2 linked regions of the Rhinolophus ferrumequinum genome follow. The protein of the gene in region 1 binds, or shares a complex with, the protein of each later gene. Links are inferred from orthologs where the notes say so. Each region holds a gene or a part of one and is shown on either strand. Other genes may lie near its edges. The genes, in order: LEPR and LEP.

Evidence for each region.
Region 2: the proteins of LEPR (region 1) and LEP are in contact, whole or in part, in a crystal structure (PDB 7Z3R), measured with the Mus musculus proteins. The link is inferred for Rhinolophus ferrumequinum from reciprocal best matches to the Homo sapiens genes LEPR and LEP. Residues at the interface, in NP_666258.2 of Mus musculus: Tyr439, Leu440, Thr441, Arg466, Ser468, Leu469, Tyr470, Gln499, Pro500, Ile501, Phe502, Leu503, Leu504, Ser505, Val560, Phe561, Glu563, Asn564; in NP_032519.1 of Mus musculus: Lys26, Val27, Asp30, Thr33, Leu34, Lys36, Thr37, Thr40, Arg41, Gln92, Gln96, Asn99, Asp100, Glu102, Asn103, Asp106, Leu107, Leu110.

The regions. Positions count from the first base shown.
Region 1 is NC_046292.1:48,167,802-48,175,767, forward strand, and holds the start of LEPR (leptin receptor), read left to right. Parts: upstream 1-4,756; 5' UTR 4,757-4,774; intron 4,775-5,098; exon of another isoform or gene 5,099-5,244; intron 5,245-7,966. UniProt on the Homo sapiens protein: Receptor for hormone LEP/leptin. On ligand binding, mediates LEP central and peripheral effects through the activation of different signaling pathways such as JAK2/STAT3 and MAPK cascade/FOS.
Region 2 is NC_046309.1:17,596,205-17,603,792, reverse strand, and holds the start of LEP (leptin), read left to right. Parts: upstream 1-4,546; 5' UTR 4,547-4,674; intron 4,675-7,588. UniProt on the Homo sapiens protein: Key player in the regulation of energy balance and body weight control. Once released into the circulation, has central and peripheral effects by binding LEPR, found in many tissues, which results in the activation of several major signaling pathways.

The sequences.
Region 1 (7,966 bases):
TATATAACAAAGATTCTCCTCCCTCAAATTTCCAATATCATGTTCCTCACTTACTTCTATCCTCACCACCAGTCACTTTAATGTCCGTGTTTCTACCAACAGTCTCTTCATAATGATTTAAATATTCTCTAAGGTGATATATGTTTTTCTACCATGTTCCTCACTTCCTTCTGAGTCCTCACTAGCAGCATGAACAGTCTGTTCAAGGCAAGATAGGCTTTTTCCATCATGCTTCACAAAAATTCTTCCAGTTTCTGCCTACTTCCCAATTCCAGAGCCATTCCCACATTTTCAGGTCTTTGTTATAGCAGTACCTCATTTTCACTTACAAAAAAATATTAGGGTTCAACCACAGAAGCAGAACCAGTAGGAGACACATAGTAAGATACTTATTGCAAGGCTGAGGTGATTGTAGAGACTGGCTAGGCTAGTCCTTACGTAGAGCAGACTGTCAAGAAAGGCAAGCTGGGAATTCTCGGTCATGGGTGGAAGGTTCTGTGGAGTTTCTTTTTCTTGAGGGAAGCCTCAGCTCTACTTTTACTGCCTTTCAACTTACTGAACCAGGCCCACCCTGATTATTTAGGATAATTTCTCTCACTTGCAGTCTACTGATGATGGACTTTAATCATGTCTACAAAATCTCTTCATAGCCACACTTCCATTAGTGTTTGATTGCATAACTGGGGACTATAGCTTAGTTAAGTTAGCACACCAAGACCATTACAGTATCCTATATTATAATTCTTTTACTAACCACAGCTGCGTCCTCACACATAACCTAGTTATTTTCATTTGAATGTTCAGGGTTTAAAGGGATTTATTCTCAGAGATATCTTCAGAATCAAGATAAGATGTTTTCATCTTATTGGCTTGTTGTACACAATAGTTCTTCAATTAGCAGTTACACCTTCACAGGGGGCAAATTATTTCTCCATGAGGACTTAGAAGATTGATGTACATTAAATATCAATTTCTTTTGGTTGGAAATGGCATTGATAGTATTTAAATAGTCTATTTCCTTGCTGGGGACCAGCAGCATTGATATCACCTGGGAGCTTATTAGAAATGCAGACACCAGGGCCCCACCCCAGAACTCCTGAAGCAGAATCTGTGCTTTCAATATCCCTAGTTTGATTCTGTTGCACCTTGAAGTTTGAGAAGCACTGGTCTACTACAATTGCCTAGTTTCTTCTGTTACCCTTGCTCGAGGCTCATCTTTTTCTTTTTCTGCCAGACTTTACATATGCAGGATGTACTTCCCTTCCTCCAAATTTGAAAACACAATTCTTGAGTCTAAAAGTTTGCGACATTTCATCATGAATAGAGGTTAAAATCCAAACCACCGTCAAAATCCCATATAACTTTCGATGTTCTTCCTAATAGATCTCTATGTATTTTTCCAGGTACATTTTCCTGAACATATCACGAGCTCTAGCTACACAACTTGCTGTCCCCTAGGGTACCATACCTTTTCCCCTCTGTGCCTTTCCTTCCACACTCTGTTTCTCTGCGGGGAGTGCCCTACACGACCTAGTTGAACAATGAGAACCCTCGCTTGACTCCTCTTGAATATAAAGGACCTGTGTTGTTCGTCTTGGTCATTATGCCTGATATGTAATAGCTACTGATTATCTATTAAGGGAGCAATAAATGAGCAAAATAAGGGAGCAAAATATGATTTCCCAAAATGGTTTCCAGAGATGTGAAGAGTAAATGAGATGATAATACACAAACATAATTGAGTACTAGGTAAAAGTACTATTGTAAACGCATTATCTCATTACTTTTCATGACTGTTCAGAGAGGTCATTATCACTATCACCTCCATTTTACACAAAAAGAAACTGAGACAGAAAGAGGGAACTCATACAAGATTTCATCATAAGTGTGCATGTGCATAAAAACTCAGCAATACGGCCTCTGATAGATATCAAAGCTTCTTGCAAAGTCCTTCACAAATGCAAAATTTGAGATTTGTGTGGTAATTAGACATATAATCAATAGTTATAATTATCATTTTATTTTAAAAGACTTTCGAGAAAACATTTAGAACACCACAGACAGGCTGAAGTGCCATTTGAATCAAACTGTATTCCAACAAACCTTACTGAGTGTCTACGTGTATTGTAGTGGATATCTGTGTTTTTTTGTTGACTTCTTCAGTAAGAGCATCCTAATTTTATTTTGGGGTACCACTTTTCCCCTGCTAAATATTTTGGTTAGGGTGAGATCAACTCTCCTCCCTGTCTCTGTTTTCCCGGAGCGTACAGGTTATTCACACCTGGATAGTCATTGTATTCCAACTCATTGGCTATCATGACCCAAGTAAGTTAATAAATAAGACTTGGTTTGGTAGTTGTTAACATATTGGTTAATTGTTTCAAATTGTAAGAGTGGAAGAGTGAGAAGGAAAGTCAAAGAGAGAAGAGCTGAACCAGGAGAGAGTCATGAAAATTGTTGTAAAGAGTTTCAAGGAATGTTATATCAATATTATGAAATTAATAGTTAAATAAGGTTTATATATTTTGAAATTAACAACCAAAATACTTGGACAAACTGTTTTATTCATTGTAAGTAACTGTAACTTCAGTCATGATTGATTTCTCTTCGCAGGATCTGTATCTGTGTAAATAGGCATATTATTGATTTTTTTTTTTTAAAAGAGAAGATAGGCGATCTCATTATTTTCTTTTTTAAATCAAATGTTTCCTTTTAGTGATTTTTTTTCCTCACTCACGAATGAGTTAAGGTGTTAATCCTTTCTTGTTATCATAGAGAAGTTTTTCAATGTGGTAATAATTGCCTAATTGGTAGTGATTTATTTTTACTCATCTAGTCAGTCAACAGCTCTTTATTGGCCTTCAGATATACAGCAGGCTTTGTGCCAGAGGGAATGAAATTCAAAGGCGTCCCTTAGCCTAGAATGTAACCTCCATAGGAGTTCCTGACTCAGAGCCTGATGCCTAGCAGGCATTCAAGATTTGATCATGTTATCAGAAATCCATACACGTGGATGTGGGGGTGTATTTCTGTATTAATTTAACAATGGTAGCTTCGAGGAGCTGTGCTTGGTCTTTAAGTATTGCCTGTGACTCAAACATGAATTGAAGGCTTGGGCCTTTGTAATTCTTTTCCTTGTGGCAGTTATTCCTCATAATACTCAGGTTTAATGATCCTTATTTTCAGTAGTTCACAATGAAATAATTTATGACAATGATGCTGGAATGATACCCTGATACCATAGTAGGTAATTTTGGTCCCTAATAGTTTACTAGCTTTAGTGGATTGAATGGTGGCTCCCCCTGCCAACCCCCCCAAAAAAAACTGTCCACATCCTAAACTCCAGAATCTGTGAATGGATGTTATTTGGGTCTTTGCAGATGTAATTAAGTAAGAATCTCCAGTTGAGATCCTTCTGGATTATCTGGATGGTCCCTACATCCAATGACAAGTGTCCTTATAAGAGACAGAAGAGAAGAAGACACAGACACAGAGAAGGCCATGTGATGATGGAGGCAGAAATTAGAGTGATGCAACCACCAGCCAATGAATTCCTGGAGCTACTAAAAACTGGGTGGGGCAAGGAAGGATTCTCCCCTTAGAGCCTTGGGAGGGAATACAGACTTGAGGACACCTTGAGGTTGGACTTCTGGTCTCCAAAATAGTGAAAGAATAAATTTCAGTTGTTATAAGTGTTAAATTCGTGGTCATTTGTTAAAGCAACCTTAGAAAATGAATATGCTAATTTATACCAATTATCTAATTAAGGATTCTGCTGTGTTGTTTTATTTCATAATAATTTGGGAAAGTCAGTATCTCTATTCCAATTCCTGCCTTCACCCGATGGAGACATTGGTCTGTTTTTTGAGGTTTGAATGAAAACTCAAAGGTTAGTGCTTCTGGGTTATTTTTGCCTTTCAAAGATGCCCCAGAAAGTTCATTCAGTGCACAAATATGAAATTTCTGAATGAAGTGACCTCAACAGGTGGTCTGGAGATCCAAATGCTATGCAGAAAAGTGACACTGGTCCCGGGAGGAAATTTCTATAGGGGAAAATTTCCATTTACGAAGCTCCACAAGTTGGCATCTCTGGGTTACTTTCTCTCTGTGCCTCTGAGGCCTCTTCCTACGAGGGTGTTAGGCAAGTTATTTCTAGAGACTTTTTAAAATTAACCATTCATCCCACCTAGAGTATGTCCACTCCCCCTTTATTCATTCTTCCTCACGCTGTTGGTTTCCTTCATCTCACCCATCACAGTTGGTAGATGTATGAATACTTGCGTGTCTGACTATTACAACTCCAAGTTCAAGGAACATAATAACTGCCCCTAGCATATTGTCTGGCACACAGTATGTCCTCAACAAATCCATGAGTGAACATTTTGAGTGGAGAGCAAGAAACTGTCTAATTACTTTGGGTTTGGAATCAGGCTGTTGAAGGATTTTTGTTTTCCTACATCAAAAGCCATTGAATTTCAAGATTGAAAGATAAATGGTCATTTAGTCCAACCCCCACTTGGTGCGTGAGTAGCCTGGTCAGCCTTTCTGACAGCATGACCAAAATGCTTGGCTGAAACATCCTTGGTGATGGGAAGCTCACTACCTCACTACTTCGGGTCTTTCCGATTCGTTCTCCTTTCCCACTCCTCCCAATCATTGCAATCTTTATGGTATCATTTTCCACACCTGATGGAGCAGAGGCATGGAAGTCCGCAGGTGGGAGGAACAGAGGGAACCCTAGCCTAATTCAGAGTCTGAGAACCGCTGGCTCAAGGTGGGTGCGCTGTAGCTGACTGCAGGATGAAGTAGCGGTGCCCCCTTCCTGCTGGGTTTGTCTCTGCTCTCGGACTCCCGGAGCCGGGGCGGGGGCGGGCAGGGGGTCCTCCTTCTCAACGTCTCCGCTTCTCCTCCTCCGGGCCCGCGGCCACGCGCCTCGGTGCTCCCTGCCCTCGCCCCGCGGGGTCCCTTCTGCCGCTCCCGAGCTGTCGCGGAGTGCGCGGGCACGCGGGCGGCCACCCGGCTCTCTCTCCCTTCTCCCCAGCCCATAGGCCACCCCCCCCCCCGCCCCAACCTCCCCGCCAGCTCCTCCTCCGCACACACTCTGCTGCCCTTCTCTCTCCTGAGAGTTGCCTGGCATCTTCGGCGAGGAGTTTGGAGCGCCCCATCGCAGAGACCACGCCGGCTGAGAGCGAGCCACGCAGGTGCCATCTCTGCCTTCCATCTGGGTTGGATCCCGGCATCGAGGTGGGACCCGCTTCTCTCTCCTCCATCCCTCTAACGCCACCTTTTCCCGCTCCCGGCAATTCGAGGAGGGGGGCGCTGAGCCGCGCGGAGCCTGTGGGCCACTTGGGGACCAGGAGTTAGGGCCGGCCTGGAGGCGCCACTAGAGGGGCGCCGGGAATCTCTCGGCTCCCCCGGGGCTGGGAATCGGGGGGACCCGGGGCGAGGGGGTCGGCGAGCACAGCTAAGTGAAGCCAGCCGAGTCTGGGCTCGCACCTGCCGGGCACGTCCCGAAAGGACGTGCCACTCGGCCAACTTCTTTTCCGGGTCTCCTTCCTACAGTGGAAACTGAAGGGACTCGTAAACCAGTAAGCCCGGGGGCCCGGAGGAGGGATTTATTGGTTTGGATGCAAAAGAAAAAAAAAATTGTTGTACACCCGAGCCTCTGTTTCCCACTCTCTCTTGCTCTGCTAAAGCATATTAAAAAACAAAACAAAGAAAAAACCCAATCCTAAGCAAAGCATTTATTTAAAGGGATTTGTAGAGGCGAGAAAAAGAGACCTAACTGAAGAATCACTTTGGAAACCCCAGGTACGGCGAGGCAGTCTAAGAAAATGGTTATTGTGGGTGCCATTTCTAGGACTTGTGTTTGCAAACGGAAGATGGCACTGGCTCTTGTAAGCCTGACGAAGTTCCTAATAGTGAGGGGTGGTTCGGAGTGTCTTCTGTTAACGTTTATTTGCATAAGTATTAAAGTACCTTGAAACAAGTACCCTTTCAGAGGTTTGGACGTGGAGTCAGAATTTTGGTATGATTGCCTTTTATCTGTGACTTTGCTGTTAGCTTGACTTCTGTGGGCCTCAGTTTCCTCATCTGTCAAATTAGAGGGTTGAATTAAGATTCTGAGGGCCTTTTAATAATATCTAAGATGTTTCCCAACTTAAAAATTTATAATTCTTTAACATGCTACAAACATTGCTAGATTCATAATTTCACGACATTTAAAAAATCTATATTGATCTTGGCATTTTGTTTATATGCATTTAGGAATTGTGCTTTTAGGGTTTTCCAACCAAAAATTAAAGAGAAAAACACTTCTAAAAGGATTCAGAAATACATAGTTTATATGTAAATATTTAGATCATCTCTCCCTCTACCTCAAAGAATCCTGTTCAACTTTAAGTTAGTATTTACAACACTGCAACAAAAACACGTGACTTTAGCAAAGTACTTATTCTCTTTCAGTATTGTATATTTGGAGGACATAAAAATTGTTTTGGAGGAAAACAAAAATCGCACCTTTCCTAGCAATTACTGCTCTTGAAAAGTGTTTGCTACTTTTTAGCATAAAGTTGTGTGCAAAATATTAAAAAAATGGTTTCAGGCCACTTCAGATCCTCTCAGAAATGAGCTCAGGAGCAGAGATGCCAATTTTAGTAAAGCATTTTTGTTGTCTTGGATTGAATCCCAGAAAATAGCAGAGGTTAACCAAACAGATAAATAAGAAATTAGGTTTTGACACACACAAAAAGTTTTATAAGAAGTGGGTACTATTCAGCTAACCTTTCATTTCCTTTTGATAAAAAAATGACAACAAACAACTTTTGGCTTAAGCAGATAGAGAATGTTAGAATGGCTTTTGTTGTTACTTGTAATTCAAAATTATTTGAGACTTAGTCATCAGACTTAGTCATCAGTCATTAGGGTAGGTTTAGAAGTGTTTTGGCTCTTTTTGGTGGCTTTGATCTAAAGTAATGTGTTTGTACCAGCATGTACTTTGTATGCAGTTTGGGATAATGGAGTGGATTTGAAATACTCTTTTATGAACACATTTTAACTTAGTTTCAGTGCCTTTTCACTTTGGGGCTGACAGTGTCATGAATCATTCAGGCATTTGTCTTCCCTCATATTCTCTAGTGAAGTAGATGTTTCTAAGATGAGTATCTTAGAAACAGATGCTCAAAACGTTCAGCAAATTGGTTTTTGAATGAACAGAGAGTAGTAGTAGAACTTAAATGCCCTGGCTTCTCATTGCTGGTTGGAAAACAACTGAAAACAGTGGATGGGTCTGACTGCTCAAGGTCCACAGCCAACTCATTCGTGGCTTAGAAGCCATGGTTGGCAGAAGCTCTATTTCTCTTTTGTAATATGGGGACTTTACTCTCATGAATTTACCAAGAAAAAAGTCATGCCTTCACACTTAGATCATTATTATATAACTGAATGATTTGTATTTGTGAAGTACAATATCTCAGGGGGTCTTGGAATAAAACTAAAATGTCCAGGAAAAAAAAAGAATTGTCTTGGGCATACTGTACTGCATTTTTCATATTGAGAGCCAAACACACATGCAGTACTAAAACACATGTCCTGTGGAGTTAAAATGAAGAAAAGGGCTTATAGTCTGCTCTAATTCTTAAGATTTTCTGTGATTTACAAATTCCGCATTTAATTAAATCAGAAAATCACAAATGTTCACCTCCTGACCCACTCTAGTACATATAACCTTTTAGTTTAAATTCATATTTGGTCTGCTTATTATTTGGAATATTCCTTCTCAAATACTACCTAAAACTTTTGTGACAACGGTGACATTATCTGTTGTCTTTTCCCACACACGATCTTATTAATTAAATTTTTTTTAACCCTTTGAACTATAATATTTATAGGGAGAAGTACATAAAATAAATGTACTGGTCAACAAATAGTATAATAAATCATTATAGCAAATAATTGTAAGGCAAAT
Region 2 (7,588 bases), on another chromosome or scaffold:
TTATTGAGTAGACTGTAAAGACCACCTTTTGACACTCCCCAGGTATAACTACACACATCCTGATGGGAGTTTGAAAACACACCCTAAAAATTTTAGTTTATTTTTTATTATTCTGTTTAAGTGGAGGAAGGAAAGGGGGTAGGAGAAAAGGAGACAAGGAAAAGACAAGAGAAGAAAGGAGGGAAAAAAAGACAACATTACATAACTAACATGGATCCTTCCTGGGGAATGTCACCAAAGAGCTATTTCTTCTCACCTTCTTCCAATCTTACGGAACCCCAATTCTTTCTGGTAAGGACAGAGTTTGCTTCATCTACCTTGATCTACCCCAGCCCCAGAGGAAGGATTATGATTGGTCTAAATCAGTCATGGCAATCACATTCCATTTTTGCCAGTGATTGGTCTAGGGGTGGGCACATGTCCCAGTTCTGGTCAATGAGAAATAAGGGGAAATCTGACTTCCCTTCCTCAACTAGACCCAGAATTTCAAGAAGACACAACCTTTAGCTTCTGCCCTGCCCTTCCTACTGGGCACTGGTGTAAGGACATGATGACTGAAGGGACAGCATCCATCTTGCAACTGTGAGGTAATAAGCACAGGACACAACGGGAGAAAATAAGATCAGAAGGAGGAGGATTCTCAGTGATGCCACCAAGCACTGCCCCTGCCCTCCTCCAGGCTTCTGGATAACTACACACGGTTAATGCTTAAGTCACTGTCACTTGCAGCCAACTGTGCATGTAATTGGCGCAATCTCTAAGGAATGTAATTTGGCAGTGTATTTCTATTTTGAAAGTGCATATCTTCTGACTCAACAATTCTATTTATCATAATTTCTCCCACAGATATATCCTGTTTCCCTGAAAATAAGACCTAGCCAGACAATCAGCTCTAATGTGTCTTTTGGAGCAAAAATTAATATGAGACCGGGTCTTATATAAGACCCGGTCTTATATTATAGTAAAATAAGACCCTGTATTATATTATAATATAATATAATATTACATTACATTATATTATACTATAGACCCGGCCTTATATTACAGTAATATAAGACCAGGTCTTATATTAATTTTTGCTCCAAAAGACACATTAGAGCTGATTGTCTGGCTAGGTCTTATTTTCGGGGAAACACGGTAGTCACACAATGCTCAAATAAGTCGATTTAAACTTATTAATTACAACATTATGTATGTAACAATCTGGTTAGATTGATTGTGGTGCATCCATAAAGTAAAATAAGCTGACATTTAAAAGATTGGCACAGCTCTATGTATATTGGTAAGAAATTGTATTCTAGATACAGTTAGTGAAAGAAGAGATCAATAATGGCTGAAGCTGGATGATGGGTGCATGGAGATTTGTTATGCCGCTTTTTCTTGTAAATGTATTATGGAGATTTGAAAATTTCCAAAATAAAAAGAAATTAAAGGCAAGGGGCAGGAATAGTAGTGTGACCAGTATGACATCATGTGTGTGTGTGTGTGTGTGTGTGTGTGTGTTTAAAGAAAATAGATATATGAAGACTAGAAAAGGAATATCCATGGAAGAACACCCCAGAAACTGGTAACAACTGTTACATCTAGGAGGAGAAGGGGGTTGGAGACTTGAATTTTCATGTCTTTTTGTCCTTTCTGAATTTTCTTAAAAATAGAATATATTTTATTATACAATAATATTTTCTTTAAAAATAAAATAATAATTTATTAGTCAACCAAATGCAAAACTAGGTAGGTGATGGATAGAGAGCAGTATGTATCTCCACAATGTGGTCTCAAGCACTGCTTGATGTTCTTGCAGTAACTCTGGTCCCAATCCACCCCACGACCCTAAAAAAGCTGATGCTGCCACAGGTAACCCGAGGCTGCCAAGGTCCCTGCAAATAAGCTATGTCCTTACTTATAACCAAGTTACAAAGATGTTGGGAACAAGGAAAACTTGATTGTAGTGAGTGCTACCGCCTGTATGTGAAAAACAACACAAAACAGCATTTCCGTGGGAGGTACAAGATTTCTCTTTAACACGTAATTCCATTGCAGACACTTTTTAAAAGCAGAAAAGCGCAAAGAGCTTAAAACTAATGCCTAATCTCACTCCCTGTAGTGACAATATATCTTGGTGTGAATGTGTGTGTCAACATATGTGTAATCTGAAAACACATATCATTTTGTAATCTAACTTTTTAGTTCATAAAATATAATTATTTTCCTACCTCATTAAATATTATTTTACAACAGATTTTTTTTTAAATGTGTGCTTATCGCTTTCATATGTCTTTTCAATCATCTTACCAATTTCTTATGTTGGACATTTAGTTGGTTTCCCACATTTTTCGTAGCAGTATAATTATAAATCATAGTCAATGCTAACATTTTCTGACTTCCACAGATATATAGCTCAATTTCCTTTCTTCCTTCCTTCAATCAATAGTTATTAATTAGAAGCAAAACAACGAGGCTCAAACAAAGCAACTATAAAAGACATTTTTGAGATATTTCGGGAAATTTGAATATATAAATTGGATCTTTCGTGGTGTTAAGGAATTACTGTTGTGTGATATTGCAGTTATGTAGAAATGCTTCCTTATTTTTTAGAGCTATACACGGAAGAGAAAATGTTATGATGTTTGTAATGTGCTTTAAAATATTTTAGCCAAAAAATAAATGAGGCAAATATGGAAAACTAATAATTGTTAAATCTAAACCACGGATATATTGCCTACTTCTCCGTATGTTTGAAATTTCCACTTAAAAATATATCTTAAAAATGAAATACTTTGTGCGAGGCACTGGGCTATGAACGGAGGACATAGCAGAGAACAAAACAGACCCTGCCATCCTGGATGAATACATAGCCATCGGGAGCATGTTTACATCAGGAAATCTCCGGTGCAATGTGACTGGTGAGGACCTGTGTGAGTCAGGCTTTCCTTGTTCCCTACACACCACCAGCACCGCAGGGATGTTTTCACAAGTTTTGAAAATCTACACCCCCAACGGCCTTGCGTCTACAGGTATCCCCAAACGCTGGTGCAATGATAGCACATGTCCAAAATCAGCTATGTGGCGCATCGTGCCCCCGGGTTCATTTCAGCAAACTTTTTCTGGGCACCCATGTGTGCCTGGCGCTGTGAAGGTACCAGGACTTTAAAAATGGGTGACCCAGCCCCCATCTTCCCCTTACAACCTAGGGGAGGAAGAGGAACAGGTCCCCCAAGCCAGCTGGAGGGAGAAGAGTTGCCTGGAAGGGAGAACAGGACAAGCTTCTTCAATGAGAGAGAGAGAGAGAGACCCCAGTGGAACGGGGGAAACCGATGGAAGTCCCCCGTGCCCATCCAGGACTGGCAGGAATAAAGACCCAGCGGGGCCAATGCCAATGTGTTCCCTAGTTCAGAGGTTGGCAAACTTTCTTTTTAAAGGGCCAGATAGTAACTTTAGACTTTGCAGGCCAAGGGGCAACATCAGGGCTGTCGTGTAAGTATAAGAGAGGAAAACTCCCACAATTATTTGGACAAAATTTAAAACTTTATTTGTGGACACCGAAATGTAAATTTCCTACATTTTTCATGTCTTAGCTTTTTCTTCTTTTGATTTTTTTTTTAACTATTTAAAAATGGTCTTGGGCCATACCAAAACAGTGGGTGGTAGGATTTGGCCCCCTGCAGAGTTTGCCACCCCCACCCCACCTTATATGCTGGGCTGGTTCTTAACTGAACAGGTTCTTTTCAGAGCTGCTCTTTGCTGTGGTGACCAGAATGGGCCTGATCTACTTGTTGGCATCTGGGTTCCTGGGAACCCTGCGTTCCTGGGTTGTCACGACATACCAGCTGGGAGTTCCGAGGAAAGTCACTTAATCTCCCTGGACCTCAGTTTCCTCGTCCCTGAAGCCCGGGGATGATACCAGCCTACTCACAGGCTGAGGAACATATTGCTGTCTGGGACACTACCCTTTCCACACAGGAAACCTCGGGTTGGGGAAGGACTGCACACCCAGAGTATCAGGCCTCCCGAGCGAACGCACCTTGGGGCAGACTCCTCATATCCAGGGGACGCTGTCTCCAGGGCAGGCCAGCCTGAGACCACCTGTCCTGAGCCTCGGAAGCTGGCTTCCGGGCGAACCCGAACCGGGTAGAGGGAAAGAAAGCAAACCCTTTCATTCCAGGTGGGGGCGCCAGGCGTACAGCTCCCCAGCGCGCACGGCCGTCGGGTCTGAGCACCGCGATGGCTGCAGAGACCCATTGCGGGTAGCGCAGCCCCGCGCCCGGCAGAGCTGGCTTTGTGGGCCTTGCTATCTGCTCCACCGGCCAGCGAGGGTGCGGTCCGCGCCCCAGCAAGCTGACAGAAGCCCCCCACAGCCAGCCGTCCCCAGAGGCCGGTCCGAAGCCATGCCTGAGCTTCTGTCGGGACCTCGAGGATTTCTCGCTCCTGCCAGCGGTCCCCAAACTTGCTGGCATACCCGAGGGTGTGCGCGTGACTCCTGGCACAGCAGAATCCCTCTCTCGAGGCCCGGAGCCCGCATCTGCCCGGCTCAGCGCTGCCCACGGGGTGGGGCGGGAGCTGGCGCTCTGGGTGCGCCCAGGCCTGCCCGGCAGTTGCGCAAGTTGTGCCTGCGAGACTATAAGACGGGCCGGCAGGCATGGAGCTCCGCAGCGACTGCGGTGGAGCAGTTTCGAGGTAAGCCCCCAGCGCTCTCCTTTTTCCTTCTCTACAGCTCGCTCTGGCAGGCCGCAGCTGCCCACCTCACCCCGGGCCCCCGGGGAAACTGAGACAGGAGAAGGGCAGGCTGGAGGGCTTAATTCTAGACTGTGGTAGCTTTGCACAGTGATCTATCTAACCAGAAGGAAGGCTGCTGGGAGCCGGGAGCTGGGCTGGGCTGGGCTGGGCTGCGCTGGGCTGTGCCTGTGCCCACGGGGCAGGAATCTTTGCTCAGGGAGCCAGCCAGGGCCCCAGGAGACAGAGCCGCCAGCTCGCTGTTGAGATGCTTTGCAAATTGCTTTCAGCACTTCTCCAAAGATCAGGGTACCCTGCTCCTATTTGGGGGTAGGCAGATAAAGTTGAATGTTCAGGGGACACAAAAACCAGGCTCCGTTTCTGAGAACTAGATACAGCCTTGCTCTGTGAATAAGAAATCAGGCTTACTTTTCCAGCAGGAGTCCTGACCTCTGAATTGGAGGGGCCATATAAGGCCCAGGCCCAGGCTCGGGACTGTGATGGAGTAGAGGGGGGGAGAATGAGAATCAGGAAGAACCCAAATCTCCCAGAGAAATTGTGCTGGGAGTCACCACTTCTGCTCTCAAAGCTGTGCAAATGACCGTCTCCATGATGTATAAAATAGGGTTTCTCTGGGGAGACAGAAGAACAGGTCATGGGAAAGGTCTGTTCCTCACGTTTCTCACCATTACCACTTCTCCAGCCAAAATCGCCAAATACACACTCCTGGCCAGTGGGCCCCAGATGAGACCTACCAGGTCCTCCTATAACCTGCCTTCTCTCCTGGCTTGGTTGAGATTTCACTGTGGGTGTGGTCGCCTTTACACTCTAGTTCTATAGCTTAAAGATGGTGGCACTTTGGAAAAGTAACTCCTTAAATACAGTTATAATAGACCTGAGTGTGACGAGCGGCCTGGTTGTCATGTGAGAACGGCAGCTTTACAGAGACAAGATGACTACTTTCTGCTGGAAGGGTGGTCTTTGGGGGAGGTGGGGCCGAGGGCAGCACCTTGACGGCACCACCCTAGGAGCACAGGTTCCATGATGCCCCATTGTCGGAGTTGACCTCTCTCAGCTCCCTTGTGTTTGTTCTATAGAGTTCTGCGGTAAGCTTCTGGGACTGGTGGGAGAGAAGGGACCCAATCGCTTTAGTCTGCAGAACCATTGTCGTTCCCATTCTAACGTCCAGGGAACAGAATGGCCAAGCTGACCATTTCTCTCTTCGGTAGGGGGAGAAGGCAAGAGAAAAACAGTGGATGTTTTTAGGTTCTTTCTTTTTCAAGCCATTGAGGACATTAGGCTGAGGGGACCGTTTCCATGTTGGCCAAAGGAGTCCTTCTCATATTTTGTATCTCTGATGCCCAAAATAACTCTTCTTGGTATTTGGGGGAAATATTTTCCTCCCCCTCTATTCCAGGAAATGGCTCCAAGCACCAAGGACAGAGCCAGGGAAATTGCAATTAATTTCTGCCAGTCTGCCCCAGGCAGATGCCTGCTGTGTCTGAGGCGCCCATGCAGGGTACGGAAGTGGCCACGTGGGAGAGCTTGCCTCACAGAACCTGGGTCATTGTCCCTACTCCAGCCTAGATGCCACCCAGGGGAGCGTAGGGGTCAGGGAGAGAGAAGGGGCTCCAGGGAGGTAGAATCCGCGTGGTGTATGCATCCTGAACAGCATGCCTGTGATTTAAAGAAAAATGAGCCACACTTTCCTGCAATCAGGCAATCAGTAGGACCTGTCTCCACCAGCGGTAGGATTCCAGTGGCAGCAGCTCAGTTCTGGACTGCCAGCCAAGAGCCTTGAAATTCTTTTGTCCACACAGTTGTCTCAGAAAATAGAAAGAGAGGTTGTTTCGGCTTAAAAACAACATACGTGGTGCCTGGGCCCATGGAATCCTTTGCTCTTACTTCATGTGTAACAATCCTTCACACTTACTTCAGTTGCTTCTCAGCAAACTGCAAAAGACTGCCTTTTACAAAAGACAGTAAAAGCTCTCGGTTTATCAGCTCTCAGGAACTGAATCTATGATTGGTGTCGATGCCAACATCTCACCCCTTAGAAACTTTTGTCCCCATCTGTGCACGTATTGCATTTGTACTCAGGAGCCCCAGCTTGGGAGTGCCAAGAAGAGGGGAGAAGCCACAGGGCAGAGCAGAGGTCTCTGAGAAGGGCGAGAGACCCAGAGCACAGGAGCAGGAGCCAGGGGACCAAGGCAGGGAGCACCTAGGATGACAGTCAAGGTGGAGCAGAACTCAGAAAGCTGAAGGCCCACGTGGTGCTAGTTCCTGTCTTCACGAAGAAAGCCTTTAGGAATTCCTGCTGGCAAAAAGTGAATTCTAGAGTGTGACATTTAGATGGTGACAGGTGAGCCATTATAGAGGGAGGTTCACCTCGTTAGACAATGAAGATCAGGGCTGGAAATATTTATTCATTCAACAAATATGTAATGAGCATCTGCTCTGTGCCAGGCCCTTGGGAGATGCTGGAACAAGTGGCATGGCCACCACTCTGGTGCCTGGCACATCTCACTAATTGATCGTGGCACCCTCTCCCTCTGAGTCTCAATAGAGCTTCAGATCCCCCCCTCCACCCAGCCGCTAACAATTGGTGGGAGTTAACACAGGAATTAACATTATTTGTTACCCCTGGTGGGATCAGATCTCAGGGCAGTTCCTGATGAACAGGAAGCGTATACCCACACCCACACCCTGTCGACTCGCTAATGATGTTAACGTGATTTCTCAAGTGAGGCTCTTGGTTACAAATAAGAGAAAACCACTCATGCTAGCTCAGTGCTTTTCAAATTCTATATTGCGACAAACATTTAAAAAAAAAACAGAGACTCCCGACGGTACACCCATAATAAGGGTGAATTTTATG